Linked DNA regions of Mus musculus. The protein of the gene in region 2 purifies or fractionates together with the protein of the main gene of each other region. This does not show direct contact. Links are inferred from orthologs where the notes say so. Each region holds a gene or a part of one and is shown on either strand. Other genes may lie near its edges. The genes, in order: Eps8l1, Abi1, Cyfip2, Wasf1, C77080 and Eps8.

Region 1 (4,831 bases), on a different chromosome or scaffold from region 2:
TTACCATGTTACAGGAAGGGGAACTGAGGTCGGAGAGATTGGGTCCCTTCACCAGGGTCTTATAGTGTTGTTATTGGGTTTTTTTGTAGATTTATTTTAGTTTTTAATAATTTGTGTGTGTCTGTCTGTATGTCTGTGGGTCTGTCTGTCTGTGGGTCTGTCTGTCTGTGGGTCTGTGTATGTAAGTGCAGTGCCTAAAGTCAGAAGAAAGCATTGGCTCTCCTGGAGTTGCAGTTACAGGCAGCTGTGAGCTGCCTGATGTGGGTGTTGGGAGCTGATCTTGGGTCTGGAAGAGCAGCACTTGCCTATGACTGCTCAACCAGCCCTCCAACCCTGGGGTCTATTGTTTGCATTTTGTGTTTGTTTGTTTGTTTGTTTGTTTTATTTGTGTCCCAGTCAGGGTTTCTTGGTCATGATGTTTGTGCAGGAATAAAAACACCGACTAAGACAATTTGTTTGCTGCTTTTATGTATCTCTGTTGTGTTTTGTTGTGTTTACGGGGCCTTGCTCTTGTTTTGTTATTGGGTTTGGGTTTAAGTTTTGTTTTTTTTTTTGTTTTTTGTTTTTTGTTTTTTTGTGTCTAGGTCTCACTATGTAGCCCTGACTGTCATCAAACTTAAATCATCCTTTCTCTGTCTCCTGAGTTCTGGGATTGTGAGTGTGCATCAATCACAATAGGCTCTGCCCTTCACCTTTACATTAGTCAGGGTTCTCTAAAGGAACAGAACTGATAGAATCACACACACACACTTATACATATACATGAACACACAAACACACATACACATGAATCCACATACACACACACACACACACACACACACACACACGATTTATTAGAGTGGCTTATATGCTGTGGTTTGGGTCATCCGACAGTGGCTGTCTCATAGCAGAAAAGCCAAGAGTCCAATCGTTATTCAATTTACCAGAGTGGAGGCGTGAGCAGTGTAGTTCCCTAGAAATTCCTAGAGAGCTGCTGGTCTTTGGCCTACATTAGAGTCCTAAATATATATATATATTCTAACACCAGCAAAGAAAGACCTCAGCAGGAGGATCGATAAACAGCGAGATTGAGAGCAAGCAGGCAAAAAATAGATGTGTCCTTCTCCCATGTCCTTTTATGTCTCCAACAACTTGGATTTTAGTTGATTTCCAATGTAATCAAGTTGACAACCAAGATTAGCCACCAATCTTTTTTAATTGTATCTTTTTCTCTATCTCTCTGTCTCTGTCTCTCTGATGTGTGTGTAAGGGTGGAGGGAGGGATGTCTGTATAAGCTACAAGAGGTCATTGGTCCCCTGGGGCTGGAATTACAGATGGTTGTAAGCAGCCTGGCCTGGTTCCCTGGAACTGACTAGGATCCTCTAGAAAGGCAACGAATTCTCTAACAACTGAGCCAAGTCTCCAGCCCCCATCAGCTTTGTGAATTTTAACCTAGAACCAGATATGATGGTACATGCCTGCGTTCCCAGCACAGTGGCAGTCGAGGCAGTAAGGACAGGAGTTCAGGACCATCCTAAGCTACATAGTGATTTCAAGACTCTATCTCAAAATTGCAAAAGCATTTTTACTAAAAGAGAGCGCAGGGAGGGGCTGGGCATAGTGGTACATGCTCTTAATTCTAGCAGCTGGTAGGCAGAGGCAGGAGGATATCTATGAGTTTGAGGCCTGGTCTACTGTAGTGAATTTCAGAACAGCTAGAGCTTCACAGCTGGTTGTGAGCAGCCTGGCCTGGTTACCCAGAACTGAACAAGGGTCCTCCATCTCAGGGTGAGAGGGGGAGAGAGAGAGGGAGAGGCAGGCAGACAGACAGACAGAAATAGAATATTTGAATCCAGGTTTGTGCGATGTAGCGGTCACACACACACATTATCACATCATATGTCTTGATTTTTTGAGACAGGGTTGCTCTATGTAACAGTCCTGGCTATCCTGGAACTCTCTTTGTACACCAGGCCTCGAACTCACACCTCTGCCTCCTGACTGCTGGAATTAAAGGCATGCACCACTACACCCAGCTTATACCATACCATCTTCTTTAACTCTGGTGTGTCCTGCTCTCACCTGCTCAGACCTTGCACGGCTCTCCATTACCCTCCCTGATGCATGCCTGCAGGGTCTATCCCCAGCCCCACCATCCTCCTAACCCCTTATTTTCTTCTTCACCAGGCCTGAAGCTGCACCCAAACCAAGTGCAAAGTCTATCTATGGTAAGCTTGAGGGTTAAGGCGACCAAGAACAAGGCTCTTGGGAGAAGAGAGAATACAGTCTGTCGTTTTGAGAGGAGGAGGAGGGGACAGAATCTGGGCTCTTGGATCTGAGAGAGAAGAGCTGGGGTCAGGGATCCTAGGTCTGAGGGAGGATGGCTGCAGTCTGGACTCCTGGGTCTGAGGGAGGAGAGCTGGAGTCTAGACTCCTCCTTCTGAGGGAGAAGGGCTAGCTAGCATCAGGGTCTAAGGAACCAGGCTGCAGTCTGACTCTTGCATGCACTTCCCCCTCTCCCCTCCTTAGAACAGAGAAAACGTTACTCCACCGTGGTTATGGCTGACGTGTCCCAGTATCATGTCAATGTGAGTCTGGGGTCTATGTTTCTCTAAGACGTTTCCTGGGGAGAGGTGAGCCTGAAGTGATAGGCCTTTTGAAAACAGGGACTGGGGACGGGGGCAGCCATCAGGATGTAAAGTGAATAAATAAGAAAGAGAGAGAGGGAGGCAGGAGGAAGGGAGGGAAAAAGAAGGAAAGAAAGAAGGAAGAGACTAGGAAAACTCAGCTCTTCTCTCCCCATGAACATCCGTCCCTGTTGCCTGAGAACTCAGTTCTGTCTGATCTTCCTCTGAGCCATCCCCAGTGCAGGATGCAGGACCAAATCGGCCACGGTTCCATGGTCCAGGAGAGGGTGTGGATGTCATAATGCAAAGCAGAGGAGGCACTTACAAGAGTTCAATCCTTATTATTTGTTGCCCTTGAGAAGCCTCCAATCTTGGTTTGAAGATGTCCTAATTGGAAGGAAATCTAATCAGTGCTGGCCACTGAAGGAGCTGAAGGGTCTGAGGGAGGGAGACTGAGGTCTGGATTCAAAGGGTCTGAGGAAAGCATTCTGGGGAAGTATGGCTAGGCTGAACAGGAGCTCCCTCTAGAAGCTCAGCAACAGCTTGGCATAGCCTGGGACTCAGCTACCTACTCTGTCTCCTGCCAGCACCTGGTCACCTTCTGCTTGGGGGAAGAAGATGGCGTGCACACTGTGGAAGATGCTTCCAGAAAGCTGGCAGTCATGGACAGCCAGGGGCGTGTCTGGGCACAGGAGATGCTACTGAGAGTGTCACCTAGTCAAGTCACTCTGCTTGATCCAGTCTCCAAGGTGCCAGAGAGCAATTGGGTGGAAGAGAGAAATGGGGCTGAGATCTGAGGGTGAATCTTGGCTCCGAAGCGTCCTTCCCCTGGGAACTTTGGCAAGCTATCCTTTGAAGCCTAGGTTATTAAACAGGGTGTTATTTCTAGGCCCCTGAACTCTTTCGGTTGCCTTGCCCCAAGTCCTGGACACTGCTCTAGCAGTCATAGGAATCTGTGCCTCCGTTTACCCTGCGACCCCGTCCTGCAGGAAGAACTAGAGTCATATCCTCTCGATGCCATCGTACGCTGCGACGCGGTGATGCCCCGAGGACGGAGCCGTTCATTGCTGCTCCTGGTGTGCCAGGAGCCAGAGCGTGCACAGCCGGATGTTCATTTCTTCCAGGGCCTGCTCCTCGGAGTGAGTGGGCGTGGCTCCGGGTGGCTTTTTTTTCTAGTAGAGAATCAGAGGCGGGGCTTCCATGTTTGGGGCGGGGCCTTGGCAAACGGGGACATAGCCTAGGAAAGCAGGTCTGAGAGGGAACCAGAATTGAGGACAGGTTGAATGAACTCTAGACCATGACTGAATGTGACGATGGGAAGAAGATGCAGAACAAAGGCTTTGAGAAAAACATAAAAAAGATGGTTGGAAGCAGGCAGGCAGGCAGGCAGAACCAAGATGGGGTCCATGGGGTTTGTCCAAGACAGTCGGAGGCAAAGCGCTGAGAACAAGAAAGAGTCCTGGGCAGGCAATGGGTGGGGCGTAAGAGGGGAGATCTTAAAGTATGATTGACAGGCGGAGCTGATCCGTGAGGACATCCAAGGGGCTCTGCAGAACTACCGCTCCGGACGTGGAGAACGCAGGGCAGCAGCGCTCAGGTGAGGAGAAGGGGGAAGCAGATGCAGAGCGCACTGAAAAAAAAAATTCTCCCATCTATGGACCTCACTCTCCTCAGCTAAGAAATGAGCTTGGTACGAACAGCCTAGAGTGTTGAATGTGGTCACAAATTAGCCTTGGCCAGGTCTTACCTGTACCTCCCAGACAAGGTGACCGCTCCGCTCCAGTCTTCTACTTTAGCCTGTCTTGGTCTTTGGTTTCTCCATCTTCGTATCCAGTTTCTCATTATGAAATGCCCAGCCTTCGTTTGACCGCCCCCCCCCCTTCCTGATCCCATCGGTTGCCCCAGCCTCGGTCTCCCCTTTTTCTTAACTCAGGGCGACGCAGGAGGAGCTGCGACGCGGCGCCTCTCCAGCAGCGGAGACCCCGCCCTTACAGCGTCGCCCGTCTGTCCGCCTGGTGATCAACACCGTGGAACCATCCGCAGTCCGCGGGCGACCCCAAGTGGAGTCAATTCCAGAGACTGAGGAAGCAAGGAAACCCGACCAAGCTCGCACGACTAGCAGTGCTGACCCTACCTCCCCAGACTTGGGCCCAAGAGGACCTGAGCTGGCGGGTCTGCAGGCAGAGCGGGATGTGGTGAGCTTGAGTGAGAGGCACCAGCT
Region 2 (4,831 bases):
TTAAAAAAAACAAACAAACAAGCAAAAACCAAAAATATGCACGTAATATGAATACAAATAAAAGAGCCAAGCAAATCCCATGTAATGCAGAGTAGTCACCATTATTTTTATAGAACATTCAGTTCTAGAAATACTTAAAATGAAGCTGCCATAGAAAAACCTGTCAGCCACACCCAGTAACTTCACGACAAAAACAAATACTGGACAACAGGCTTATTTCAAACTATTTTTGTTCTGAATTTAGTATCTTAACATGGAAAGTGAACTCAATGATTATCCTCAGATATTCAAGCCTTTCCTTTCTAACTCTATTTTCTGTAAAAGGTTTTAAACACTGGCTGTAATTAGTACTGAGATGTGTATTTTGAAGTAAACAAAGGGAAATCAAAAGAAAATCCCTCCCACCTGTTAGAATTATTCAGAAAGAGAAAGTAAGCAGGCATTGTAAATGTTTTCATTTGAAAGCATTTCAAAAGAGGTCACAACCTTAGAAGTGATAGCCAGCAATTTCTTTTCATTAAATTCTTTAAAAAGTTCTTTGGCTGTGTTTGTGTCTTCGTACCATTACTGAACCATCAAAATCATGCTGATAAAATTTAAGATTGTTTTGTTCTCTAGTTCAAATTATACTGTAGTAATACTAATAATAGCACATTAAAATATTTGTTGAATTTGGTAGATTAAGTATACTTGAGTGAACCCTGGAGAATAAATAAGCAGTAATATTTAAGATGGTTATTCAAGGATTAACATTCAAAGCAAAAACAAGCATGAAATAGCATGGCTTAAATTGTTGTCTATCACAGTCAAGAATAACAGTTTCAAATAATTTCCTTTAAAAAGGAGCTCCACTATTGCTGTATGCCTGCAAACACAAGCTTACTTGAATTTTGAGAATAAAGTGGACCTCCATTAACATGAGGCTGAGCAGAGAATTGGGCGGCCACAGAAGGAGTTCGTCTATATCCACCAGAAGATGTCGAAGAAGTGGTAGAGTTGTGTCGAGAAATCTGCCTGGTCATTGTGCCATACTGGGAACCAGGAGCTGCGCCAGGGGCTGCTGAAAAGCATTAGTCAAAGGCAACCAAGAAAGCATTACAAACACCCCAAGTGACAGGACAGAGGGGAGGGGGTTCTTATTTTTTTTGGAATGCCCAGACATAAAATAAAAAAAGAAGATGAAAATCAAATTATCTCCACTTCTAAAGTATATAAACAAGAAGACAGCTAGTGCAAAGAGCTACAAAAGTGACCATTTGAGCATTGCTAATCCTTTGCAATAAGCATAGTCCTGAATGCTATTTTGCTAATGCTATATGTAATTTACATGTGCATTTCAGAATGTTCACTAGACAATGCGCGAGAACAACTACTCTGGTATGGTAAGTAACCCAGGGATAATCTGAAATATATGAAAAGGAATATATGTGTAAGTTGTCTGCAAGTACTACACCATTTGATTAAGGAACTTGAGTTATCTAAGGATTTTGTATCTATTGGAGGTGGGGTGTACAAGAATCAATCACCTGAGGGGATGAAGGACAAGTGTATAAAGCTTTTGTATGTACACTGGCTCCAACAAAATGAGTACCACACACAGTCTGAGTAAGGCACTAGCTGTTAGCTGTGGGTCATTCATGACTGCTTTATAAACAGCTTCCTCTTCACAGCCAAGTTTCGGAATTTGATTTAAAATTCTATCTGGCTAAAAAGCTCAGGATAAGTAATAAAGTAAACAATAAAATTTAAACTGCTAAGTATATTTTTCTGATTTTTATAACTGTTAGTAATTACTGTTATTAATTATTTAGGTTGTATTTAGGTACTATTCTAACACTAAGAACTATCACTCCTTCTGAATGAACACTGCTAAGTATAGTCCCTGAATTTCCCTACGCTTCAGCACTGATGAAAATCTCCCCTTGAGAGCTTGTTGTAATGGAAATTTATGGGTTCCATTTTCGGAGATTTTTAACAAAGTAGATCTAGGATGAGTTCTGAAACTGAAATTTCTACCTAATTCCTCTACGTTAATAACCAATTTGGGACTATTGCTCTGAAAGTTAGTGCTCTAAGTAAGCAGTTAGCAAACATTTTTTTCTTTAAGTCGACTCTTAAAAACTAAAAATTAGGTGTCCCTGGAGTGGGTTACACCTACATGAAATGACCATATTCAAACTGACACAGCTTTAAGGTGAATTTATATACAAGTACACAAAGACTTCACGGAGCCTCTAGAAAAAAAAATTCTGACAGAATGAGGATGAAAAAGACATGTAATAGCTTTGACCTCACAAACTTAACAGAGAGTTTTCTGAGAAATAATGTTCTGATGTTAGTACCTAAGACTGACACTGAAAGATGCTGTTTACCTTGATTAGTAAGCAAAAGGGGTTTTGGTAAAGGGAGCAAGCATATCAACAAACACCAGCAGTATAGCACCAGTTCCACACACCCCAACAAGGTGAGCTGTCTGTCTGCATTTTTACTTATCCACTGTGGCTTCAACAATCATCTTCCAGGCTCACAGACTTTCTTTCAGTGATTTCTATATCCATGGGATTTTGTATTATCTCCTTCCCTCTCCTTTTCCTCAGTATACATAAATGTTTTGAAAAATAATCTAGGGCTGGTGAGATGGCTCAGCAGGTAAGAGCACCCGACTGCTCTTCTGAAGGTCTGGAGTTCAAATCCCAGCAACCACATGGTGGCTCACAACCATCTGTAACAAGATCTGTCTCCTTCTTCTGGAGTGTCTGAAGATAGCTACAGTGTACTTACATATAATAAATAAATATTAAAAAAAATAATCTAAAAATATTTTCAGTTTAATTTCATCTAAATTAATTCTCATAAGAGACACCTCATTATTTATCTTAAGTTCTGTGTACTTCTAAACTGAATGTAAATTTGGGTGTGGGAGGGAGTTGAGACAGGATTTCTCTGTGTAACATCAACCAGACTGGTCTTGAACTCACAGAGACTGCCTGCCTCTGCCTCCTGTATATGCCACACACTGCCCAGCCTGGATCTAGAATTCTTTGTATTAGCATTCAGTCTAGTCCTTCCCAACTTAAAGACAATTTGAATGCATCCAATTGATAAAGTTACTTCAGAGCATTCTCAGCTATCTGAAACCTGGGCTGCTGCAAAAATTTTCAAAGAATAATCCAAAAGATAGCACCACAGCAGCCCAGTCACACTCTATTTCCTTTCCATGTTCCACTTCCTATCTCCACCTTCAGCCCAGTCCTTTGACTGGATGTAATAACTGCCAGTTTTTGTCAATCTAAATAAATCACAAATAAAAATCCCATTAAGTTTGTTGTAAATCATACATAGGACCACATTGTATTTAATAAAGAGTCTTCTCCGTGTTCTTATAGTGTTAAGTTCAAAGGTCCTTCACCAGAAGAAATTAGAAATAATTAGATTTAATTCTTTAACTTTTAGTGGTACCATCTATAATCCAGTAACTGCAGCAACTTGTAATCTATCAGCTACAAGAGTTAAGTGCAGATATGTAAAATTTATCTAATGGTTCCCCAACGCCTACACAGTCTCATCAGCAACACTCACTGGGAGAAGTATGACTCCAGGAAGCCAGACACAATGTTTTCTAGCAAAATAGTTTATCACTCAGATCGGAGTGTAAGAAAACAGAACCAAAAATTCCAAAATGGCAGGAAAATACCGCATATTGAAGACAAAGAAAAAAAAACAAACATCCGTATATAAAACAAGTTCAAATGAGTTTATAAATGCAGTACCCACAAAATGAGCCTGTGTTTATAACAGGATCATTTTTCTTGAACAATACTTTGAAAAGGTAAGATAGTTTCCTCTCATTTTTTTATTATGATTACCTTTCAAACATTTTTTTTAATATACACATTTTGTTTCTGGATAGCTTGGGCTACACAGAAATAACCTACCTCAAAAAAGTCTACATTTCACTGACTCAATTTCAAAGGGTTAACTGAATGTTCTCCCAGAATACCTTAAATTTACATACTTTCTAAAAAGGTAAAATAAATTTTCATATTTTTAAATATCATCTTATATTCACCAGATTTCACTAAAACAGGTGCTGAATCTCATACATAAATAGGAAGGCACAAATACATTGGTTTAGCAATACTGACCTTCTGAATGAAATATTATGCAAAATGGTTTGCTTTTGAAATAATAAACATCACAAACTATTAGAAAGGCAACATTTACTAAAACAAAATGGCCAAAACTGACTTAACAAAGTGACTTCTCTGTACCACACATACAGCTTGTAAAACCCTAACAATTTTGTGAAAATTAATCTAAAAATATCATATTTTTATATCTGCCTTTATTATAGCAATAGCCACAATCTAGTAACTAATTTCATTCAATATACATAGAGTGTTTTAGCCTCCATAATAAAGTGAACAGACACAACACAGTGAAGCTGAGGGTACTAACTACCGTACCTGGGCCCGCAGTGGGCGGTGAGGGCGTAGGCACAGCAATAGGAATGCCAATGCTGCTGCTCCCACTGTTCTCTCGGCTTCCGCTTCCTCCACTACTTCCACTGCAAAGAAGAGAAGCATTGGAAAATCATTTTTATACACTGATTTAAAAAAAAAAAAACTTAATCTAAACTGGAGCTACTAAATACTCTTTAACTTGGTTAACCTTTAGCCTATTATTTAAAATGGTTCTTGTGTTACACTGTTCTTCAAGAACTTTAAAACTAGTAACTAGCACAGTTTTTGAACCCTACCTGGCCTTAATTCCCAGCACTCTGAAGGCAGATACAGGTGGATCTTTGGGTGTTCAAGACCAGCCAGGGGTG
Region 3 (5,479 bases), on a different chromosome or scaffold from region 2:
AGGAGGAATCCCAGTCCTAGCCTCACTGTGCTGCCCTGTCCATCCCAAGCTTGCCCTTGACATTTTTGAATTGGTTGCAGAATGCTGAATACACAGAGGAAGACATTCTTCTCCGGCTCTGTGTGCTGAAACGTGAGAATTACCGCTGCTCTCCTGCCCCCACCCGGTCCTCCTGCCAACTCAAGTTCAACCACGTTCACTTTCAGCAGTTGCCAGGTGAAGCCCTGGCCAACACCTTGTCTGATCACATGCCTTTCTAATGTCTCTGGCACGTACCTCAACTGATCCAGCAGACCAAGTCCCCTTGAAAAAGCACGATTCAGGTAAGTCCCGGGAGTGAAGAGGTCCGAGAGGACCGTGAATTGACTATGCACATGAACCAAATTCTCGGCGATCGTGTAAATACTGCATCGCAGCAATAGGGGTATAAATAGGAGACCGATTGTGTGCCACACACTCTATTCAGAGCTTTCGTGCATCTTTCATTTAATAAGAACATCCAAAGATGCACTGGCCCCTCCCCCACCACAGCTGGCCTCCGAGTCACAGGATTCACAGTCTGCAAGGCACAAACTGCTGCCTTCCCCATCCACCAACCACCTCCAGCTACAATCGCCAAGGCCATTCGCCGGACCCTAGATATAGCTTTGCTTCTCAAATTGACAAGACCAAAGGCCTTTCACAAAGGCTCCAATGAGGTGACTGACATCTGGTTTCGTCAACTATAAGTGAATAATTAATACTTGCCAGTAAAGAAATAGACTCATTGTTATGGTGGCCACATGGAGGCTACAGAAAGAGCATTTTGTGAAGCTCTTGGTGGAACCCTGGGGCTAACAGTGGTCCAAAGAAGCCTCTTTGAGCATGGAGGCCGGGGCTGAGATGTGAGGACAGGAGCCCTATACTGTTTTCCAGCAATACTGTTCCCAATGCTAATTAGCCTGTTGCCTATTCATCACCTAATTTAGCTTTCAGGTCAATGGCAGCCTCAGAGGCCCAGTGACCACTGAGGGGGCACGATAATCGAAGGGTGCACTTCTGTTACCGGGGCCCTTGGCTAGCTGTTAAATTACTTCTCCATGTGATCTGATCTGAGCAAGAGTCTCCAAACCTGTGCCCCACCCCACCCCCCACTTCTGGCCTAATGCCTAACTCACGCTTTTTCTTTCCATTTTCCACCACATTAGGGAACAAGGCAGTCTTGGGTTCCTATACAACCAGTCAGAACTGGCCAGGAACTACAATAAAGAAGATTAGTGAGCTAATGCCACCGGCCTGGGGCTCAGCAAGCAGAAGTACCCAGGGGCACTGGCTTTGTAAGCAGCAGCGTGCTGTCTGTGGCTTCGTAACTGTCAGGGCAGATGGCAGCTAGCTCCAGTAAGGAACTCTCCATGGGCACATTTCACACCCCACGGGCAAGGAGAGACTGGTGATCAACAAAAGCCTTCTGCTGACAGTAACCCCTGACCCCTCTCTCTCTCTGCCTCTCTCTCTCTGCCTCTCTCTGCCTCTCTCTCTCTCTCTCTCTCTCTCTCTCTCTCTCTCTCTCTCATACACACACACACACACACACACACACACACACTCCTACAGTACTCCTGCCCACCAGGCCAAAGCAGCCCTGACAGAAAACGAAGCTGGCAGCTGCCACATAGGCCATTCTGACCACAGTATCAGTGCCACATCTAGCTTACATCGGAAAGTCAACCATTAGAGATAGCAAATATTTTGACTTCAGCTCTGCTTCCTATTAAAATGTCTCCTATCCTCGGCTTCCTTTCTGATCCCATGACTTAAGAAGCGCCTGCTCTACATCCAATGGGAAAACCTTTTGTATTTAGCTCTTCAAGATAAATACCACTCACTGGCTCCTTTCTCAAGCAAGTTTGACAGGAGAGAAGGGACCCAAGGAGCATCGGGTGGAGGGGGGGAAAGCCACAGAAGGGGGGATGGTGGTAGGGACAACTACCTTCAAGGACTTACAATCCCGACTATAGATATTAATCTATATTTTTGTCCTCCGACAATGGCGGGAGGGGGGGGTGTCACTGAGTGCTAGGCAATGGTTCTTGCAGGGCCTGTGCCCAAGAATAAGGCTGGTCACTTCTAAGGGAAGGGGTCAAGAGGTAGAAATGGTTGCTTAGGAGCAACAGTCAGTCGTCAGTCTGATCCCTAAGTCTTCCTGCCCAACTGTGGGGCTGTGGGCACTAAAGAATTGGGCTAGCCAAGTTCTAAGTCTGGACTGGAAAACACCCAGATAGTCGCGGGAGAAAACCAACAGTCGGTTCAACCATGCTCCCTGCCCCCACCCTTAGCCACAAGCTACTCCTCTTCCTGTACACACAGGAGGGCTTACCTTCCTGAAGGTGATGTGGCAATCTCCCACAACAGACAGGTGGGCAGCTAAATACGAAGGAAACCTTGACCCCTAGGATTCCATCACCCCACCTTTCTCCTCCCCAAAGCCATCCAGGGGAGAGGCGCTAGTATAGGCCAGAACGCTTCGAAGCAGGTCAGCCATGCCTCCCGGCTCATCAGAGCTTTCCTCTCCCAAACCGTGCCGCTGTGGCCCCGGCCCCACCCGGCTTCGGTTCACCGCGGGCGCCCAGTACCCCCTTGCCTGTCAGGCGGGCCCAGGCAGCTCTCTCTGGCCTTGGCTGAATGATGGTGGCCGCGACCGCAGAGGCGGGGACTGCCCGGCGATCTGCAGTATGTAGGTGCAGGGATGTAGCCCCCTCTGGGCTTGTGGCCCCTGCAGGTATCCCTGGTCCCCGAGACTATCCCTGCCTCTTTTTAGGGCGGGTGGCTCCGGCCCAGGCCACGCACCTGCTGTGGCTGCCGCTGAGGCTGCTGCGCGGAGCTCTGCGCTGTACCCACGACTTCTGGAAAACGCTCCCTGCCCAGGGCGCCCGGGGCGGCCGAGGGGAGAAGGGACAACACAGGCCTGTAGCCCGGCCTCCAGGGACCTGAAGCCGTGTAGCCTCGGGCGCCAAGCCAAGCGCCCCCAACGGGCTGGGAGAAGTGGCGCCCGCCCCTCGCGCATCCTCAGGAACGCATCCACCGCCTAGGCAGCATTTCGGTTCCTGCATCAGCCCTGTTGTCTCCGAGAGTCCCTTACCTGGCTCGGTGGCAGGTCCAGGGGAGGGACCCGAGGCTACCGCAGGGCCCCGCGCCGGGGCGCAGGATGCTTAGCCCCGCTCCGCCGCTGCGCCGGCGGACCGCCGCGCCCCGCCCGCGGCCCCGCCTCTCCGCCTGCCGCGGCTCCTCCCCTGGCCGCGGTGCCCAGCCCCTTCGCCGCGGCTGCTGTCACACAAAGAGCCGGAAATGGCTGCGGCGAGGGGCTCCCTGCGCACCCCTGACCTGCAACCTCCTGAACCCATACCTTCCAGCCTTAGAGTATCCAGCCTCCGGACTCTGGAGGTGGAGGAGGGACGACTTTCCTGCTGCCGCCTGCATCACCAGCGACACCTGCCACTCCAGAAGGAAGGAAGCGTCAGCTCCTTTCGCATCTCCCCGGTGTCAAATTATTTTCATATAGTCATTTATTCACCACATCTTTATCGACTACCTGTTTTGTTCCAAGCATCTTGCCAAGAGCCAGGCACGCACTAGTGTGCAGTAGAGCCCCTGCTCGCTTGGAGCTTATTATTTGCCAGCATTAACTGACCTAACAGGAGTCCAATGACAGCTGCTTTCCCAAAGAAGGGAGCAGGCTAAGTGAGAGGTTGAGCCCTTCCACCACTTGAAGAATAACTTCCCAGAGGGCACGGGCTCAGAGGGCACGGGCTCAGAGGGCACAGGCTCAGCGGGAGAAAGCGCTTGCAGCCAAGCTTGATGATGACCTGAGTTCGATTCCCAGGATCCACAAGGTAGAAGGAGAGAGACAGCTTCTGTATATTGTGTTCTGACCTCCACCCACATGCATATATGCACATTACACAGACACACAGACACATACACACACCCATACACACACACAATAAATAAATGTAATAATTTAAAAACAAAGAGAAACATCTACTTCCTTTCCATTTCTTAGTGTAAAAATGTACAGCTATTATGTGTGTGTGTGCGTGTGTGTGTGTGTGTGTGTGTGTGTGTGTGTGTGTGTGTGCGCGCGCGCGTGCCCATGTCGATCCCATTGAGGTAGAATTGACTCGTGGACAAAATCATGATAAGCTGACTTTTAGGCAAACCTAGGAAGGAGCTGAGGAGACAGAAGCCTCTTAGATGCTGCTTAGGGCTCTTCAAAGAATCCATTGCTCCTTGAGACATAACTCGGAGGGCTTTAGGTAGGGATGAGGCCAGCTGCATTCAGTCCTGACCTGAACCCACCCCAGCATGGTACTGCTCTGAGTGGGAGATGCAGTACCTGCAATAAAGGGAATAATAGTTGCTCTGGGTACCATATATATATATATATATATATATATATATATATATATATATATATATATATATATATATGTGTGTGTGTGTGTGTGTATGTATATAAAGTATTTATTTTATTCTGTGTGTATGGGTATTTTGATTGCATGCACATATATGTGTACCGCATGCATGCCTGGTGCCAAGAATAATCTGGAACTGGAGATACAGATAATTGTGAGATGCCATGTAGGTACTGGGAATTGAACTCAGGTCCTCAAGAGGAGTAGCCACGGCTCCCAACTGCTGAGCCATCTCTCCAGCCTGCCCTCTTAGGGGAACTAATTGGAAAGTACTTGAGAGCCTGATTTATGTATAGAGCAACAAGGAATAAAATCTTGGGTCATGAGAACCTTCTCCAATGCTTGCCAGACGCCACAAACTTAGACTTGCACAGTTGTTCCCTGTAAATGGCTACTGATAGAGGAGCCACTGTATGCAAATCTCAGGCAAGGACTTGAGAAGACTTAGCTGCATCTCACATGCTTCCCCCGGGGCTCAGAAACCACGCTCCCATGTGGTTTGATGTTACATCACTTGTCTAATTTAAACTGCTATTTCAGAAGCGATGACTTACATATATAGCGACACACATACATTTTCCCCCCCTTCTGATGCCATGTGAGAAAGCTGTGGGGGTGTTTGTGGGGGATGGCTTTAAAAACAGAATTCAGGTTTCGTCTTACTTTAAAATTCATTTTTTTTCAACCAGGATCCTCAGGATTTCAGTCCACAGTGACTGCAGACGCTTACGAATGAGAATCCCCATTCCTTGGGTTTTCATCCTGAAAGGCAGATTATTTGAGGCGTTTTTATCTTCTCAGAGACATATTTCTCCATGTTGCTCCTTCTTTGTCTTTTCTCTTTTCAGAGAGAATCTGTTTGGAAACAATAGCACAAAACAACTGATATTATGTATGTGGTTGTATGCTATGCCATTTTATTTTCCCTGGCTGCTGGGTTCTATCTGCCCGTAGAGGAGGTGCACCATGGGCTTTTTACATTAAATGCCACAGACCTGCCTCTGTGTTTGAGTTTTGCAACCAACTGA
Region 4 (4,831 bases), on a different chromosome or scaffold from region 2:
GGCACTCGTGTGCACATGCTGTGTGTGTGATGCGCTGTCACGGAGGGAAGCACACTTCAGTGGTAAGCATTGGTCTGCTTGTTTCTCTGTCTCACCTAATACACTGTTGGGCGTGCTGTTTTCCAGGGATGATGGTAAGGAAGGGCTGAAGTTTTATACCAATCCTTCATATTTCTTTGATCTGTGGAAAGAAAAGATGTTGCAAGATACAGAGGACAAGAGGAAGGAAAAGAGAAAGCAGAAGGTATTGTAGAAGTTACTTTTTCTGTATTCCCGTGTTGTCGCTCCCTGGAAACGCTGTTAATCTGCACTTTGGCAGCCCTGCTTTGTTGGGTCCGTGCATTAAAGTCCTTATAATTACACAGATCACTAGAGAGTGTCTTGCAGATGTGAGTAAAGTTGATAAATGAAGCCACTGTGTTTCTGCCACACCACGTGGCCTAGCTGTCTTCAGCAGGCTACTGTCTTCTCTTTCCTTTTGCTGGCCTCTTGCGCTTTACTTCCCACTTTGATAAGATTTTCCCGAATCTGCTTGATTTCATATTTTAAATCTGATGATTGTACAAGCATGTGGAAGGAGGACGAGACAAGTCTTATTTTGACACAGTCTGTCTTCACCATGTCTGTCTATCTCCGCCTTCCTCAGTCCCCATAATACCCTCTTGTTGCATGGGAATGTGCTGGACAGTGCCCTTGTGTTCTAGCTGGGGTTTGCAGACTGGTGACTGGCAGGCCAGAGTGCCCCTAAACACAGGTTTTGGTTGCTAAGCACAAGGGATTTAAAATTGTGCTTGAGGTAGAACTCCTGTCAACTTCATAGCATGCCCCATCTTAGACCTGACAGGCTTTTTGTTCATGTGTCACCTGCTTTGTCCCTACCTTCTCCGGGCCTTTCTACACTGTCTCCCCTGATTTTAGTCTCTGGCCATTTCCCATACAGATGTTTTCTTGTCTTAGTTGTTTGACTGGGGGTTGACAGTTCCATCCTTGGTAAAGCATTGATACGTAGTAAAAGTAGGTCTAGGAGTGAGGATCAGCGACCTTTTCCATCCAGAGGACTTTCCGCTTTAAACCTAGGCACACACTTTTTGTATCTGAACTCTCAGTGTGAAATTGAGTTGCTAAACCATGGTGAGAAACTGGGACCACAGTGACCTCTGATCAATTTTAACTCTGACTGTACAGTAAAATGGGTCTCTGTTTTGCTATATTATCATGGCATTGCCGTTTTCAGTAGTGACCTTAGAGTTTTATTTTGTCGTAACTTCCTTCTAAGGATTTAGCATTTCACCACTTGGCGTTGTTTCATTATGTCTGTTATAGCAGAAAAATCTAGACCGTCCTCATGAACCAGAGAAAGTGCCAAGAGCACCTCATGACAGGCGGCGGGAATGGCAGAAGCTGGCCCAAGGTCCAGAGCTGGCTGAGGATGACGCTGACCTCCTACACAAGCATATTGAAGTTGCCAATGGCCCAGCCTCTCATTATGAGACAAGGTTTCATTTTTTTCTTTGTTTGTTTGTTTTTCTAGTGAATGATAAACATTGGATCTACCTGTAATACCTATACTTCTGTACTAGCAAGTCTCGGCTTCTGGACTGTTGAGTTCTAAATTTTGAACTTCTAAATTCTAACTCCCTTGGGCAGGTCATTTTCATATTTGGACTTTTTGTTGTCATTTGTAGGAAAAAAAAAAAGGTTCACAGTGTATACTTTTCTGGTTTGTTTTAGCTTTTATGTAAAGGCTTAACTACCCCCTAGTATTTCAGGTAAAGTGTGTTAGAATGCTGTAGTACAGTGTGTCTGAAGTACTTCTGAGGTGTTGATTTTCACTGCATATGCGGCAGGGGTTAAGAAGAGGTTTGATTTTGTTCTTTCTCTGTCCTCTGACTTCCTTTCTTTTCCACGTCCCTAAATTCAGGTGTGTCAGGGATTTCAGACAGAATTCCTTACTTTCTTTTACAGACAAGTGGGCTAGATCTGGGTCCTTTCTCAGTGGCCAGGAGCCCTATCTAAGTAACAGACTACCATAACAGACATACTTCCAAGCTTCTGTGAAAAAGCTATGTGTATTTTTATCATACTGATTTTATTGGAAAATAGCTTAAAATTTTCTTTTGAAAACATATGAAGTCTTGAGGCATAATTGAAATATTGGGGCCTATTTTAAGAGAGTACGTATCTAAGAGGTACCATCTAGCTACTTTACTTAAAGAAACTGAAAGAATGGAAATTGGAAAAAAAAAAAGCTCTTGTAGGCATTTGTGCTTAGGTGAGGTCTGGCCTGTTGACAGTGTGAGTTGAGAACCTTGTGACACGCACTGTGCACGTCTGTTTAAAAAAGCTCTGCTCCCAGCGTGTGCTGCGGTCAGTAAACCCAGATTCTCACGTGCTCACCTAAAATCTTGGTTTATGTAAATTTCATGTTGCTGTGTCTCAGCTGTATTCTGAGTTTTCTTGCCTCTCTCTGACTCTAGGAGCAAGTTTTCTTGCTCTTACTCCAAGACTTTTGAAAGCCATTAGTTTAAGAAAACACAATGTCCACGTGGTAGTAAGTTCCATTTTTATACTTTCCTCATCGGTCATTGGTTAAAACAATTCACACAGAAATTCACGACTGCGTTCAAGAGACTGACTGTCAGTGCAGCGATTCTAACAGATGCACTAATGCTGTGTATTTCTTGAAGGCCACAGACATACGTGGATCATATGGACGGATCGTACTCACTCTCTGCCTTGCCATTCAGTCAGATGAGTGAACTTCTGACCAGAGCTGAGGAGAGGGTCTTAGTCAGACCCCATGAACCTCCTCCGCCTCCACCAATGCATGGAGCAGGAGATGCAAAGCCCACACCCACCTGTATCAGGTATGTGGGACAGCCTCATAATGCTTTGTCTTGGGGATCAGGGACCTCTTCTTTGAAGGATCAGTCATAAACATCTTAGGCTTTCTGGAAATACTTTCTATCCCAAGTATACCATCTCTGTGTGGAAGCAGCCAAAGATTGCCCATAAATGTCTTTTTAAAATAAAGCCTGGGTTACAAAACCAGGAGGCACCTTTAGACATTAAAGGTATTTGTTTTCCTCCGATTAGAGCTGGCATTTTCTCCTGGGGTCATTTAGCTAATTGCTTTAAGGATTAGTGTTTTCATGTATATAATTATAGCTTTGTTAACATGTATAGTTTATTAAGAAAAAATGAATTTTTTCAATCTAGCAAAGTTCTAAATAAGGAGGTCAAAGATGTTAGTCTAAGATGATATACTAAGGAAATATATCAGCAACTTCAAGACGATAGAATGTTGCTTGTAGCAGCATTTCTGTAAGGTTACTTTAAAGTTTTATGTGATCCAACTTAGAAATTGTTAACATAGGCATATTAAAGAGGTTTTCTTTCTTTCTTTTTTTTTAATTAGGTATTTTCTTCATTTACATTTCCAATGCTATCCCAAAAGTCCCCCATACCCTCCCCCCAACTCCCCTACCCCCCCCCCCCCCCACTCCCACTTCTTGGCCCTGGCATTCCCCTGTACTGAGGCATATAAAGTTTGCAAGACCGATGGGCCAACGAATACAGACCAGCTTTACCATTTTTAGTTTAAAATAGGATATAAACCACAGAAGCCTCCTATGTATCTCTTGCTTATTTGGTATAGCAACCTTAGGAAGAAAGTGGCATAAATGTCTTTGTGTGGTTTTTAATGAGCTGCCATCGGCTTCGCTGAAAAGACATATGATGAATCTTAACAGCTTCAGTACAAAAACACCATCATCATATTAGCCAAATTCTGCTGTAAGTGTGACTAGACACTGCAGTGTGGTGGTGGGGTGCGGGGGGAGGCACTGCAGCCACCCCTGTCACAGCATAGAACTGAACACTGTTTACTGAAGGAAGCACGAAACTCCTGAGGAGGCGTGAGAGTTTCATACAAAGTTAGATTATTATAAACCAAAGCATCACCTATTAATTTGCTTTTGTTGTTGTTTTTTGGTTTTTGGTTTTTCGAGACAGGGTTTCTCTGTATAGCTCTGGCTGTCCTGGTACTCATTTTGTAGACCAGGCTGGCCTCGAACTCAGAAATCCGCCTGCCTCTGCCTCTCGAGTGCTGGGATTAAAGGTGTGTGCCACCACGCCCAGCCATTAATTTGTTTGTACACTTTTAGTCCTTATTCTTTGGAATAATGTTAAATAATTTAAAGCTTCTACAGGAACATGTTAGTGGGTTTATTTTGATGTAGCTACCGCTAGTCGTTTATAGTTTCTACAGTCGTGTTCTTTTTCTGATTAATAACGTCTTGGATGTCTTTGTCTTTTCAGTTCTGCTACAGGTTTGATAGAGAATCGCCCCCAGTCCCCAGCTGCAGGCAGAACACCTGTGTTTGTGAGCCCCACTCCCCCACCTCCTCCCCCACCTCTTCCGTCTGCCTTGTCCACTTCTTCACTAAGAGCTTCAATGACCTCAACTCCTCCCCCACCAGTCCCTCCTCCGCCTCCTCCCCCAGCCACTGCTTTGCAGGCCCCAGCAGTGCCCCCACCTCCGGCTCCTCTTCAGATTGCCCCTGGTGTTCTTCACCCAGCTCCTCCTCCAATTGCTCCTCCTCTAGTGCAGCCCTCTCCCCCAGTAGCTCGAGCTGCCCCAGTATGCGAGACTGTGCCAGTTCACCCACTCCCGCAAGGTGAAGTGCAGGGGCTGCCTCCACCCCCACCACCGCCTCCTCTACCTCCGCCTGGCATCCGGCCATCATCTCCTGTCGCAGTTGCAGCTCTTGCTCATCCTCCCTCTGGGCTCCATCCAGCACCATCTACTGCCCCGGGTCCCCATGCTCCA
Region 5 (4,831 bases), on a different chromosome or scaffold from region 2:
CACACCCCGCCCCCAGTCTTCTCCTCCTCCTCCCTCTCTTCCTTTCCCCTCCCCTGACTTTTTTGAATTCCACATATGGGTTGTTTCTGGGCCAATTCTTTTTCCAGTGCATGGTGAGCACGTATTCAGGATGGCTTCTGGGAAGCGTTCTGGGCTGAAAGAACAGGTCTGTGTTGAATCCCCCTGCCTCTGCTGTTTCTCAGCCTTTCCGATGTCACATTGCTGAGGTGGGAAGAAAGTTCTTTAGAAAGTGTGGGACTGAAGTCTGTGAATGGGGTGACTGTTGTCATCGGCCACTTTGATTCTCTAGGTATCCCACCTGCCAGCCTCAGTTATGTGCCCTGTTCTGAGGCCTGCTCTGTCCCTGTCATCCTCACAGGCAGCCCTGGGTTCCTGCCTGCTTGTTCCGTGAGCTGAACTCTTTCCTCGGGAAATTACCTTAATTAGCCGTGACGGCTGGGTGTTGGGCATGGGCATCGTGCCAGGTCTGGTCTGGTGGCTCTTCCAGCCACCATCTGGCAGCTGGGACCCTTTCGTTAGCTCCGGCACCCAAATGTTTGGGCAAGAACTTGGGAGCAGAGTCAGAGACCCACAGCTAGCTAGCATTGTGTCTTCTCTTTGGTACCTCCAGTCACACTCAGCAGCAAAGCGCCCAGTCTCTGGGCCTCAGTTTCCCTGTATTCTGCTTGGGGGTGGGGTAGGGGTGGGGTTAGCGGATGGGCGGGCTCTATGGCAAAGGTGGGAGGAGAACCTGGAGCAGCCCCTCCCCCTCCTGCCCGAACTCTGCCAGGCAGCTGACTGCCAGCTTGCTTTGCATCCGAGTCCCTTTGGGGCTGCGCTGTATCGAAGGTGTTGTCTGATGTTCTGGGGAGGTTAAGGTGGTGACCATCTGCTGCAGACATGGTAGTGTTCCTGGGGCGACATCTCCCAGCGCTTCTTGAGGTCTTTAAGAAGGGTGAGTGGGTGTGGCTGTGGGGGTAGCCAAGGGTGACAGCCCCCTTTGCCAGACCCTTAGGTTGGTGGGGGTCAAGGCTAGGAAGAGCGATGAGGTGGGGGAGCTGGTTCCCAGGCTGGCTGCAGTCTGAGTCGGCAGCCGCGCTTTTGTCCGGCGGCTTTGTCCCTGCTTTTGTTTGAGTGCCGCTTGTTATCCTGGAGGGTGGACCTAGGTGTCTCTGACCTTGGAGTCTGTTGTCCTAGGGTCAGATTGCCTTACTGCTGGGATACCAACTCATTACTGGGTATAGCTCAGTTTAGAGAGAGGACACCCCTCTCCGGAGTCATCTCCTCGGTGGGAGGATCTGCAGGAGCGGGGAAAGCGTGCCCTGGGGACCTCGCTTGGAGAGGGCAGTTTTGAAGGTAGAGACCAGGTGCACGCCTTTGCCCAGGAGCCTGGCTTTTAGACTTAGGTTCTAACTGTGGGAGCTTTCGTTTCTTGTGCTCTTGGAGGGCAGGGGTCCCTTCTGGGAATGCAGAGTTTAGCCCTGGCTGTCTGAGCCATTTGCTGTGACTGTAGTAGGAAAACATTTTCCACTTGAGCTTGTTTCTCCACTTGTAAAATCGTGGGATGGAGTGGGAAACACCCAAGATCTCCGGGGGCACCTCTTAGCTCTCTCTGCCTTGGTGGGATTCCTGTGGCTTCTTGGGGGCCGGTCCTCTGGTTCTGAGGAATACTGAAGAAAAGAGATGGCAGGTGTCTGAGTTGGAGACCTAGTTCCTGGGGTGGGGCCCTTTAAAGGGCTTATTTTGTTCCTGCTTCTCTACAGGGGACTGCCAAGGTCACATGACCTTCCCAGCGCTTTTGCTTATGTTGTGGGATTCATTTAAAGAGGGGCTGGGACTGCAAAGTGCTGACACAGCCCCCATCCTCAGGATTAGATGACCAGCCCCTCTGTGGGCAGAGCCTGTAACAGGATCCTCTGTAATGGAGCTCTGGCTCCTCTGTACCTGGAACCAGGCCAGGGCCTCCAGGAGAGGCCATACCTGGCCTGTTCCCTCAGGAGAGGCTAAGTTCCCAGCGGGAGTTGAGGGGCCTGATCCCTCTTCTCCCCGTCCCTGTGGATCCTTCTAGAGAGTAGCCATATGAGTAAGTAGGTGTCCCTGGCCTATTCCTCCCTTAGGGCTTTCTGGAAATCTGACTGTGACTGACAGCTCTGGGTTTTCATGGCATCTTCTTGGACTCGGGCCAAGGGGCTATTTAAAGAGGGTGGTTTGTTTTCCTTTAAAGTGAAGCATCAGGTCTCGAGACAAGAAATGGATTTGCCATGGGGATGTCTGTGTGGAACCCTGAGTGACCTGTGGGTGCAGTTTTAAGTGTGCTTTGGGGTGTCTGCAGCACGGTGTCAGGTGGATCTGTGGAAGCTGGTGGAGCCACGTTTGCCGGTTTATGCTTGGGTATTGTTTGTGTGTATACACTGCTGAAGCCTGTAAATGCCTCATGGATGTAAAGGGCCTGTGTGTTGACCTTGTGTGGTCCTATTATGTGATGTGATGACTCAGATATATGTGCCCTCCGGTGTAGTTCGTGTGTGTACATGGGATAAGAATGTGTCTAGGCGGTATGGCAGAGGTAGACATCAAAGGGATGTGCTCTGTATGCCTGTGTGGCTGTGCTTGTGAGTCTCCAGCGCCCACATGCCTTCGGGCCTCACTTCCTTCTCCGTCCCATCAGGCTCTGCTAAGGCCGAGAGTGACAACCGTCAGGGCGCAGGGCCCAGCCAGGGGCCAGGATCTGTAGGAGATGAACTTCAGGACAACGTTTTCTTCCCCAGTGGGAGACCTCCTCATCTGGAAGAGCTGCACACACAGGCCCAGGAGGGGCTCCGCTCCCTCCAGCACCAAGGTAAGTCCTGCCCTGTTAGAGTGCTGTTCCCAGCTCCTGGGTCAGGGGCTTGGCCAACAGACCCTTCTGGTGTCTTCCAGAAAGACAGAAGCTGAGCAAGGGCGGCTGGGACCATGGAGACACCCAGAGCATCCAGGTGAGCCCTGTCCCAGCTCCGCCCTGCTCTTCCCTTCTGACTTAGCCTCTGGCATGCATGGCTTTGGGCCTTTCTGGACTAGTTTCTTCTGTATGTTGAAGAGGTAGATGAAATGACTTCTGACAGCTAGTCCAGGCTTGCTCCATCTGGTACCTGCACAGTGCTGGCTGATGCTGGGGGAATCCAGCGGGAGCCCAGAGTAGCTCATCCAAGCTGCTCTTATCCCCCCAACAGTCCTCCCAGACGGGGCCGGATGAAGATACCATCTCCATCTACAGCCAGAAGTCATACATGACGGAGAGCTCCACCGCGGAGGATGCGCTCTCCGTCCGCTCGGAGATGATTCAGCGCAGAGGTGTGTTGTCATCTGCTGGGCTTTCTAGGTAGCAGGGAGAGGTGACAGGCACCATCACATCGCTTTATGTCCTGGTATCTGTGGCTTCCCCTTTTCCTCCTAATCCCAGGCTATGTGATTCAGTGAATTTACCAGACAGTACCCTTTATCTTCTTGGAGGTTCATGGTGGACACTGACCCAAAGCAAGATCGTGAAGGGTTTGGGAACCCTGACTTGTGGTAACTTAGCTGCAGCGTGACCAGGAGTCTAAACCCTTTACTTCTTCAAGTGTCTACTGATGTTCTATAGAAGCTAAAGTGATTGACTTTCAGTATAGCTTAGCTGGTATCATGCTTGCTTTCGCAAGCAGGAAAGCCTGTGTCCAGTCCCTTGCACTGTATGCAACAGTGCGGTGGTACACACCTGGAATCCTAGCGCTTGGGAAATAGAGGTAGGAAGATCAGAAATTCAAAGTCTTCCTCAGCTCCATAGTGGGTTAGAGGCTGACCTGGATTGTATGATATCCCTATTTCAAAACAAAAGCCAAAGGATTGGCTAGGGACAGCCTCAGAGGGCCTAGGGAAGGCATGTCTAACCCCTTGCTCCAAGAAAGTCAGGAGATTACAAATATTTACATCATTGGAATGAGTATCAACCGTTTAACATGGTGATACAATTTGCTCACTAAGTAGTAAGAATCGCTTGCTTAATGGAAAGGTCATTGTTGAATCAGTGAGGGGATTTTTCAGGAGTCTTAAAGAAAGCACGCACGAGTACTTTATTAGTACTGAGCCATGTCTCTAGAGTGCTCAGAGGCCTTCTGCTCTAACGGGTTTTCCCCCTCTGGACTGACTCCTTAGGCTCCACCTTCAGACCCCATGACTCATTTCCCAAATCTGGGAAGTCAGGAAGGCGACGGAGGGAGCGAAGGAGCACGGTGCTGGGGCTGCCTCAGCACGTGCAGAAGGAGCTCGGTGAGCCTTGGTCGGTGAGCAGTGGTGGTGGATGCCCGGGAGCCTGGCCAAGCCCCTCCGCTGACCCCATGTCTGTTTCAGGCCTGCGGAACAACCGTGAGGCACCGGGCACTCCACAGCCTCCTGGTTCACGGGACGCTGTCCGCATCCCCACGGTGGATGGTCGCCCCGGTCTGGCCTTAGGGACAGGGGTCCGAGTGTCCCTGCAGGCTCTGGAAGCAGAAACAGAGGCCGGCACAGATGCAGAGGCTGTCATCCAGCGCCACATCGACCGTGTTTACCACGATGACACGCTTGTTGGCCGATCCACGGGAGCCCGGCCACCGCCACTGACGAGGCCAATGTCTCTCGCAGTGCCTGGACTGACAGGAGGAGCAGGATCTCCAGAGCCACTGAGCCCAGCCATGTCAATCTCACCCCAGGCCACCTACTTGTCGAAGCTGATCCCGCACGCCGTGCTGCCGCCCACCGTGGATGTGGTGGCCCTGGGCCGCAGCAGCCTGCGCACTCTGAGCCGTTGCAGCCTGCTCTCTGCCAGCCCAGCTTC
Region 6 (4,831 bases), on a different chromosome or scaffold from region 2:
GGACCCTTCCCCCTTTCCCTTTCCACAGGGGGAACCTATTAACTCACCAAGCAATCACCCGGCCCTACAGAGGCACCAGACCTTAAGGCACACCTTCTGCTAGGTTAGTGTCTGCAGTATCCCTGAATGGATGCATGGTGAAGGCCGGGTTCCAGCCTTCAAAAGGGAGGTCGTGGAAGGAAGACATTGCGCTTTGCTCTTACATGACACTAGGATTGCCAGATACTTCCTGCCTGTCTCTTATCACTTCCTGCTTCCCAAGAAGCAAACAGCAATTCTACCACACTCTTCCTACTACCATGGACTTTCCCACTGCAGGCCCAAAGGCAATGTCCCAAATAACCATGGAACTGAAGCCTCCGAAGCCACTAGGAAAACAGACCTTCTCTCTTTGCAAGTTGCTCAGCTCGATGGTTTGCCACCGGGATGGAAAACTCACTCAGCAGTACATTCACAGGCTGAGTCTCAATTCTATATTGTATCCGTTTTGATAATCACTTTATTATTCCATTTCAGGTAAAAATGAACTATCTGCCACCACAAATTTTCCCATTATGTTCCCAACAAGACCAACGATTAGATTTTCTTGGGAATTCAAGTGAGTTTTGTAGATAAGGTGTCAATTTTTCTTTGTTATGAAATTTATCTGTAGCCTGTAATTATCACTGTATATGAGGATGTTGCTCATGTATTTATCTCCTATTTTTGGGCTTGTGTGCTCTGTGTAATTATATACATTTTTCTCAGATATATGAGTCACGTATTCTTTAACAGTCAGCACTGGTGAGTATAAAAACTGATGGGAGACCTCAAGATCATGGAGTGTGAGAGAAAGTGCACACGTGCACACGGACACACACAAGCACACATGTGACCGCCCATATATGAACACTGATTACATAAAAGGAAGTCAGAGGACAACCTCAGGTGATGTTTTCCACCTTTCACCTTGCCGGAGGCAAGGCCCTTTGCTGATTACCCCTACATAAGCTGGTCCAGCTGGTCTGGAGCTCTGAGAAATTCTCCTGTCTCTGCATTCCATCTCTCTGGAGCTGTGTGAGGATGATAGATACGTACCATCACAGCTGGCTTGACATAGGTTCTGGGGATTTCAACTGCAGTTCATCCACCGAACAGTCTCCCCAGCCCTTGTTTAGTCTCCTTTCTAGTTAATTCTCTGAGGGGAACTAGGAGAAGTAGCCTGGCCTGCATCATGTTCAGGGTGAGGTAACACTGCAATGGACCCCAGTACAGTGCATCCTTAGAACAGTCTAGCCCAACACATTCCAGATGGTCAACTAAGGCCAAAGTCCTCTATTATATAGAAGATTAAAACTGGAGGTGTCTAGAACCTTGAACTTCTATGAAAAATGTTGCCATCGCTAAAGGAGGCAAACGCACCATGTAGCATCCCATGATAAAAAGTTACACTCAAAAACTGTTATCGCAAGATGTTCTGCACACAGACTAGTTACAAATCACAGTATCAAGGCACTTGCATTTTTAAATTAGCAAGGAATGCACACCTCATGAAAAGAAATGTGGCACTGGCCAGGGTGAGTGGCTTTCCTCATTTTTAGTGGTCTGAGCTATGGTGAGTACAGAGCATTGTCCAGGAAATTCATGTGGAGGCATCATGGTCACGGTCCCCTAGAGAAGGAAAGCCCTTCATTCCATAACGCAGAGGCTGACGTCTGGAACCTTTACTCAGGACAGTAACTCACATTTAAGTCAGACTTAAAAGCAGGGATACAAACACAAAATTTAAATGCCTTTTGACTCAGTATTTTTCATTGGTTTGTAAGTCTCTGAACTGGGCCAACAAGACGCCTCCGTGGTTGAGGACACTTGCTGCTAAGCCTCAGGACCTGAGTTCGATCCCTGGAATTCCCATGGTAGAAGGTGATAACCAATTCCTACAAGTTGCCCTCTGACCTCCGTACATGATATCCCTCTTCAATAAATAAGTACAAAAATTAAAGAAGCAAAATCCATTAATAAGATTTTACTTTTTTTCAGAGCGAAATATTCACTTCACCATTTTTTTGCTTTAACATATCAAAATCCTCAAAAATCATTAAAATAATTAAGGAATTCGAAAAGTTATAGTCTGTAAAAAGCTGATGAATTTCAAGCTATAAGTTACTTAAGTAGCACAGTTCTTTCAAGTAAGACTTTTATTATAATCATCTGTGGGATACATTGAAATTAGGAAAGATTACAAACTATATTGTTAATGATAATCTGCATCTGCCATGGTTTAATGTCAAAGAAACGCTGATGAGATCAAGTGGGTTTCTTGTGCTGGTCTAAAATGTCTTTACAAGATAAAAGTCACAAGTAACTCAGTGCTCTAGGAGGAGAAAAAGGTGGCCAGAGTGAGAACTGTCCCTCCATTCCCAGTGTTTGAACACTGGGTCCCGTTCCCCCCCCCCCCACCAGAGGTGCTCACTGGGGAAGAGCTTTGAGATTAAAAGTCTATGGCCACTTTCAGTTGGCTCTCTCTGCTCCACGCTCCTGCTACCATGCCTGCTGTGTGTTGCCATGACTACCCACCAGGACAGACTCCTGTCCCTCTGGATTTATCAACTCAAATAAACCCTTTCCTCTCCTAAGTGGATTTTGGTCAGTGTTCTATAACAGCCACAGGAAAGAAACTAAGACAGGCGCCAATGAACCAAAGGAAGTTTCTCTTTTAGAGACACCAGCTCAGAAAATAAAGCTATCTAATGTTGGAGATAAATTCTAAGGTTCAATAAATTATCATCATTGATAAATTACGTGGACTGTGAAACATAGATTTTGGGGTCTCAAGTTTATTATTCTTGCTAACTCTGCCCAGCTATTTCTCATGGCACTTAGGGATCACAAACCCTGAGTAACTTTCCAAGTCCCATAATTAAATGGCAATCTTCCTATCAATACCATGGGGCATTGCAAGGATCTCACTGAAACAATCGATACAAGCTTCGAGGTTAACAAGGAAGAAAAGAGAATTGTAGCATACTTACTGTCTGTCTATTTAGTATATGTGCCACAGAAGCAAGCATAATGCATGATTTTTAATGATCTATTTTTAAATTATATACACAGAGCCCCTGATGAGAATTTCATACACCGGTACACTTTGCAAACAAGATAAACAACACGTGTCTATGTTTGTTTGATACTTTTGAACAGGCTTCTGCCTTGCAGCAATCCTCCTGCCTCACCCTCCTGAGTGGTACAAGTAGGACCCATCTTACTACACCTTGAGTTAAAAAAATAATAATAAAATTTCCTCTTTTGTTTACCTGATTGGAAATTTATAGAAGACACTTCGGTACTGATTTTCTTCATCACATTCTCAAAATGTTAAACTCTAGCAACTGATAGCTTTATAATCAAGATTGAAAGTTGCAGAATATTGCTCTAGAGGGTTGAGCGAGGAACAGGGACCTGAGATTTGCCTAGTAGTTGGGAACACTTGCTGTTCTTACAAAGGATGGGAATTTGGCACCAAGCACCCACATCAGGCTTCTCGAATTTATAATCCCAGCTCACCTTCTTCTGACCTCATTGGGCATTCGTGTACACACACACACACACACACACACACACACACACACACACACACCCCACTAGAATTAATGGGAGGCTGAGGCACTCTTACCTTAACCTCATCACACTGGAAAAGGTGAAGGTCTGGCTTGCTCTGCGTTGGCTCTTTGCATACCAAGGCGAGAATGGAGTCATAGCTGCATGCATGTACCACTGCTTGACAATGCGAGATTGTGTTTAGAGGAAAATTCTCCAATTCATTCTGTATAAAATGAGTAAATATTTGACAGTGTCAAACCATCACTTGTGTCCCAAGACTCTGTCCTGACTGCACACGTTGGTATCGGTGGTGAACTCTTAAGACTAAAGTGGCATAAACCTCCCCGACTTGCCTTTGACTCTAAGTCAATCAGGCTCACAGCTCGGTCATCCACTTGGAGAATCATATCTTGAGTCCACACTTTGCCCTTGGCATCCAGCAACTTCAGCTTTCTTATTCCGTCCTCGACAGTGATCATTGCATCTTTCCGATCCAGCACGAAGGTGGTCAAGTGCTTATGATGTTCAAAAAAAAAAAAAAAGGGCGGAAAAGAAAAACTTTGAACACACAAATAAAACCCTCTCCATAGGTATTTTTCAAAAGGAGGAAGAATTTGCATAACAGAAGTCAGTTAGAAGAACCAAAGGCTTGACACAACACACAACAACAACCTCAGTTACTCCACTGACAGGGTGGAGTTGAGTGGCCTTTTTTTGTTGAACACAGAAAACAATGCCTTGATTTGTATGATCCCTGAACCTGTGTCGTGCTGTGTCACGTGGGGCTGCAACAGCATAGTATTAAGACAAGTTCTTAGCAATGAAACATAAATAGCATTTCCTTACATTAATGACCCCACCCCTGTTACTCAGAGAGCTATTTCAATGCTGCACAGGAGAGCAGCATTTCCAGAGGCAGCTACAACCTGGACAGCCACTCGGAGCCTCAGGTAGGGTTCTGGTCTCTAACAACTGACCCGTTTGCCCTCTCCTGAAAACACTTTACTGAAAAACAGTGGTTCAGTTTTAATTAAGCATGCTTGAGATGAGCGGCAAACTGAAAACAGCAACTTAAAGATGACGTCCCTGCTTACATGTTTTCCGCTAAAAACAGGGGTCGTTGTGATTCCAATTAAGAGCAAATATCTTACAAACTAAAATAGAAACTAGGGTTTAATGAAAGCTAGTGATGACACCAGATAAAACTAAATATAAAACAGAGCTGCTTGGTGCATCATAGCTTAATGACAGT

Evidence for each region.
Region 1: the proteins of Abi1 (region 2) and Eps8l1 purify together in Homo sapiens (co-immunoprecipitation; 4 studies listed by BioGRID and IntAct, with this or other methods). This does not show direct contact. The link is inferred for Mus musculus from reciprocal best matches to the Homo sapiens genes ABI1 and EPS8L1.
Region 3: the proteins of Abi1 (region 2) and Cyfip2 purify together in Homo sapiens (co-immunoprecipitation; 4 studies listed by BioGRID and IntAct, with this or other methods). This does not show direct contact. The link is inferred for Mus musculus from reciprocal best matches to the Homo sapiens genes ABI1 and CYFIP2.
Region 4: the proteins of Abi1 (region 2) and Wasf1 purify together in Homo sapiens (affinity purification with mass spectrometry; 6 studies listed by BioGRID and IntAct, with this or other methods). This does not show direct contact. The link is inferred for Mus musculus from reciprocal best matches to the Homo sapiens genes ABI1 and WASF1.
Region 5: the proteins of Abi1 (region 2) and C77080 purify together in Homo sapiens (affinity purification with mass spectrometry; 3 studies listed by BioGRID and IntAct, with this or other methods). This does not show direct contact. The link is inferred for Mus musculus from reciprocal best matches to the Homo sapiens genes ABI1 and NHSL3.
Region 6: the proteins of Abi1 (region 2) and Eps8 purify together in Homo sapiens (affinity purification with western blotting; 4 studies listed by BioGRID, with this or other methods). This does not show direct contact. The link is inferred for Mus musculus from reciprocal best matches to the Homo sapiens genes ABI1 and EPS8.

Annotation. Positions count from the first base shown.
Region 1 is NC_000073.6:4,466,684-4,471,514, forward strand, and holds part of Eps8l1 (epidermal growth factor receptor kinase substrate 8-like protein 1), read left to right. Parts: intron 1-561; exon of another isoform or gene 562-2,170; coding exon 2,171-2,211; exon of another isoform or gene 2,212-2,512; coding exon 2,513-2,571; exon of another isoform or gene 2,572-3,197; coding exon 3,198-3,359; exon of another isoform or gene 3,360-3,599; coding exon 3,600-3,749; exon of another isoform or gene 3,750-4,124; coding exon 4,125-4,207; intron 4,208-4,357; exon of another isoform or gene 4,358-4,543; coding exon 4,544-4,805; intron 4,806-4,831. UniProt on the Homo sapiens protein: Stimulates guanine exchange activity of SOS1. May play a role in membrane ruffling and remodeling of the actin cytoskeleton.
Region 2 is NC_000068.7:22,952,552-22,957,382, forward strand, and holds part of Abi1 (abl interactor 1), read right to left. Parts: intron 4,568-4,831; coding exon 4,467-4,567; intron 1,061-4,466; coding exon 884-1,060; intron 1-883. UniProt on the Homo sapiens protein: May act in negative regulation of cell growth and transformation by interacting with nonreceptor tyrosine kinases ABL1 and/or ABL2. May play a role in regulation of EGF-induced Erk pathway activation. Involved in cytoskeletal reorganization and EGFR signaling.
Region 3 is NC_000077.6:46,309,109-46,314,587, forward strand, and holds the start of Cyfip2 (cytoplasmic FMR1-interacting protein 2), read right to left. Parts: upstream 3,251-5,479; 5' UTR 3,119-3,250; exon of another isoform or gene 2,827-3,118; intron 1-2,826. UniProt on the Homo sapiens protein: Involved in T-cell adhesion and p53/TP53-dependent induction of apoptosis. Does not bind RNA. As component of the WAVE1 complex, required for BDNF-NTRK2 endocytic trafficking and signaling from early endosomes.
Region 4 is NC_000076.6:40,931,790-40,936,620, forward strand, and holds part of Wasf1 (wiskott-Aldrich syndrome protein family member 1), read left to right. Parts: intron 1-126; coding exon 127-244; intron 245-1,323; coding exon 1,324-1,496; intron 1,497-2,687; coding exon 2,688-2,867; intron 2,868-4,320; coding exon 4,321-4,831.
Region 5 is NC_000070.6:129,223,851-129,228,681, reverse strand, and holds part of C77080 (uncharacterized protein KIAA1522), read left to right. Parts: intron 1-770; exon of another isoform or gene 771-900; coding exon of another isoform or gene 901-955; intron 956-2,668; coding exon 2,669-2,839; intron 2,840-2,919; coding exon 2,920-2,975; intron 2,976-3,209; coding exon 3,210-3,330; intron 3,331-4,170; coding exon 4,171-4,284; intron 4,285-4,365; coding exon 4,366-4,831. UniProt on the Homo sapiens protein: Able to directly activate the TNF-NFkappaB signaling pathway.
Region 6 is NC_000072.6:137,523,436-137,528,266, forward strand, and holds part of Eps8 (epidermal growth factor receptor kinase substrate 8), read right to left. Parts: intron 4,095-4,831; coding exon 3,933-4,094; intron 3,803-3,932; coding exon 3,653-3,802; intron 1-3,652. UniProt on the Homo sapiens protein: Signaling adapter that controls various cellular protrusions by regulating actin cytoskeleton dynamics and architecture. Depending on its association with other signal transducers, can regulate different processes.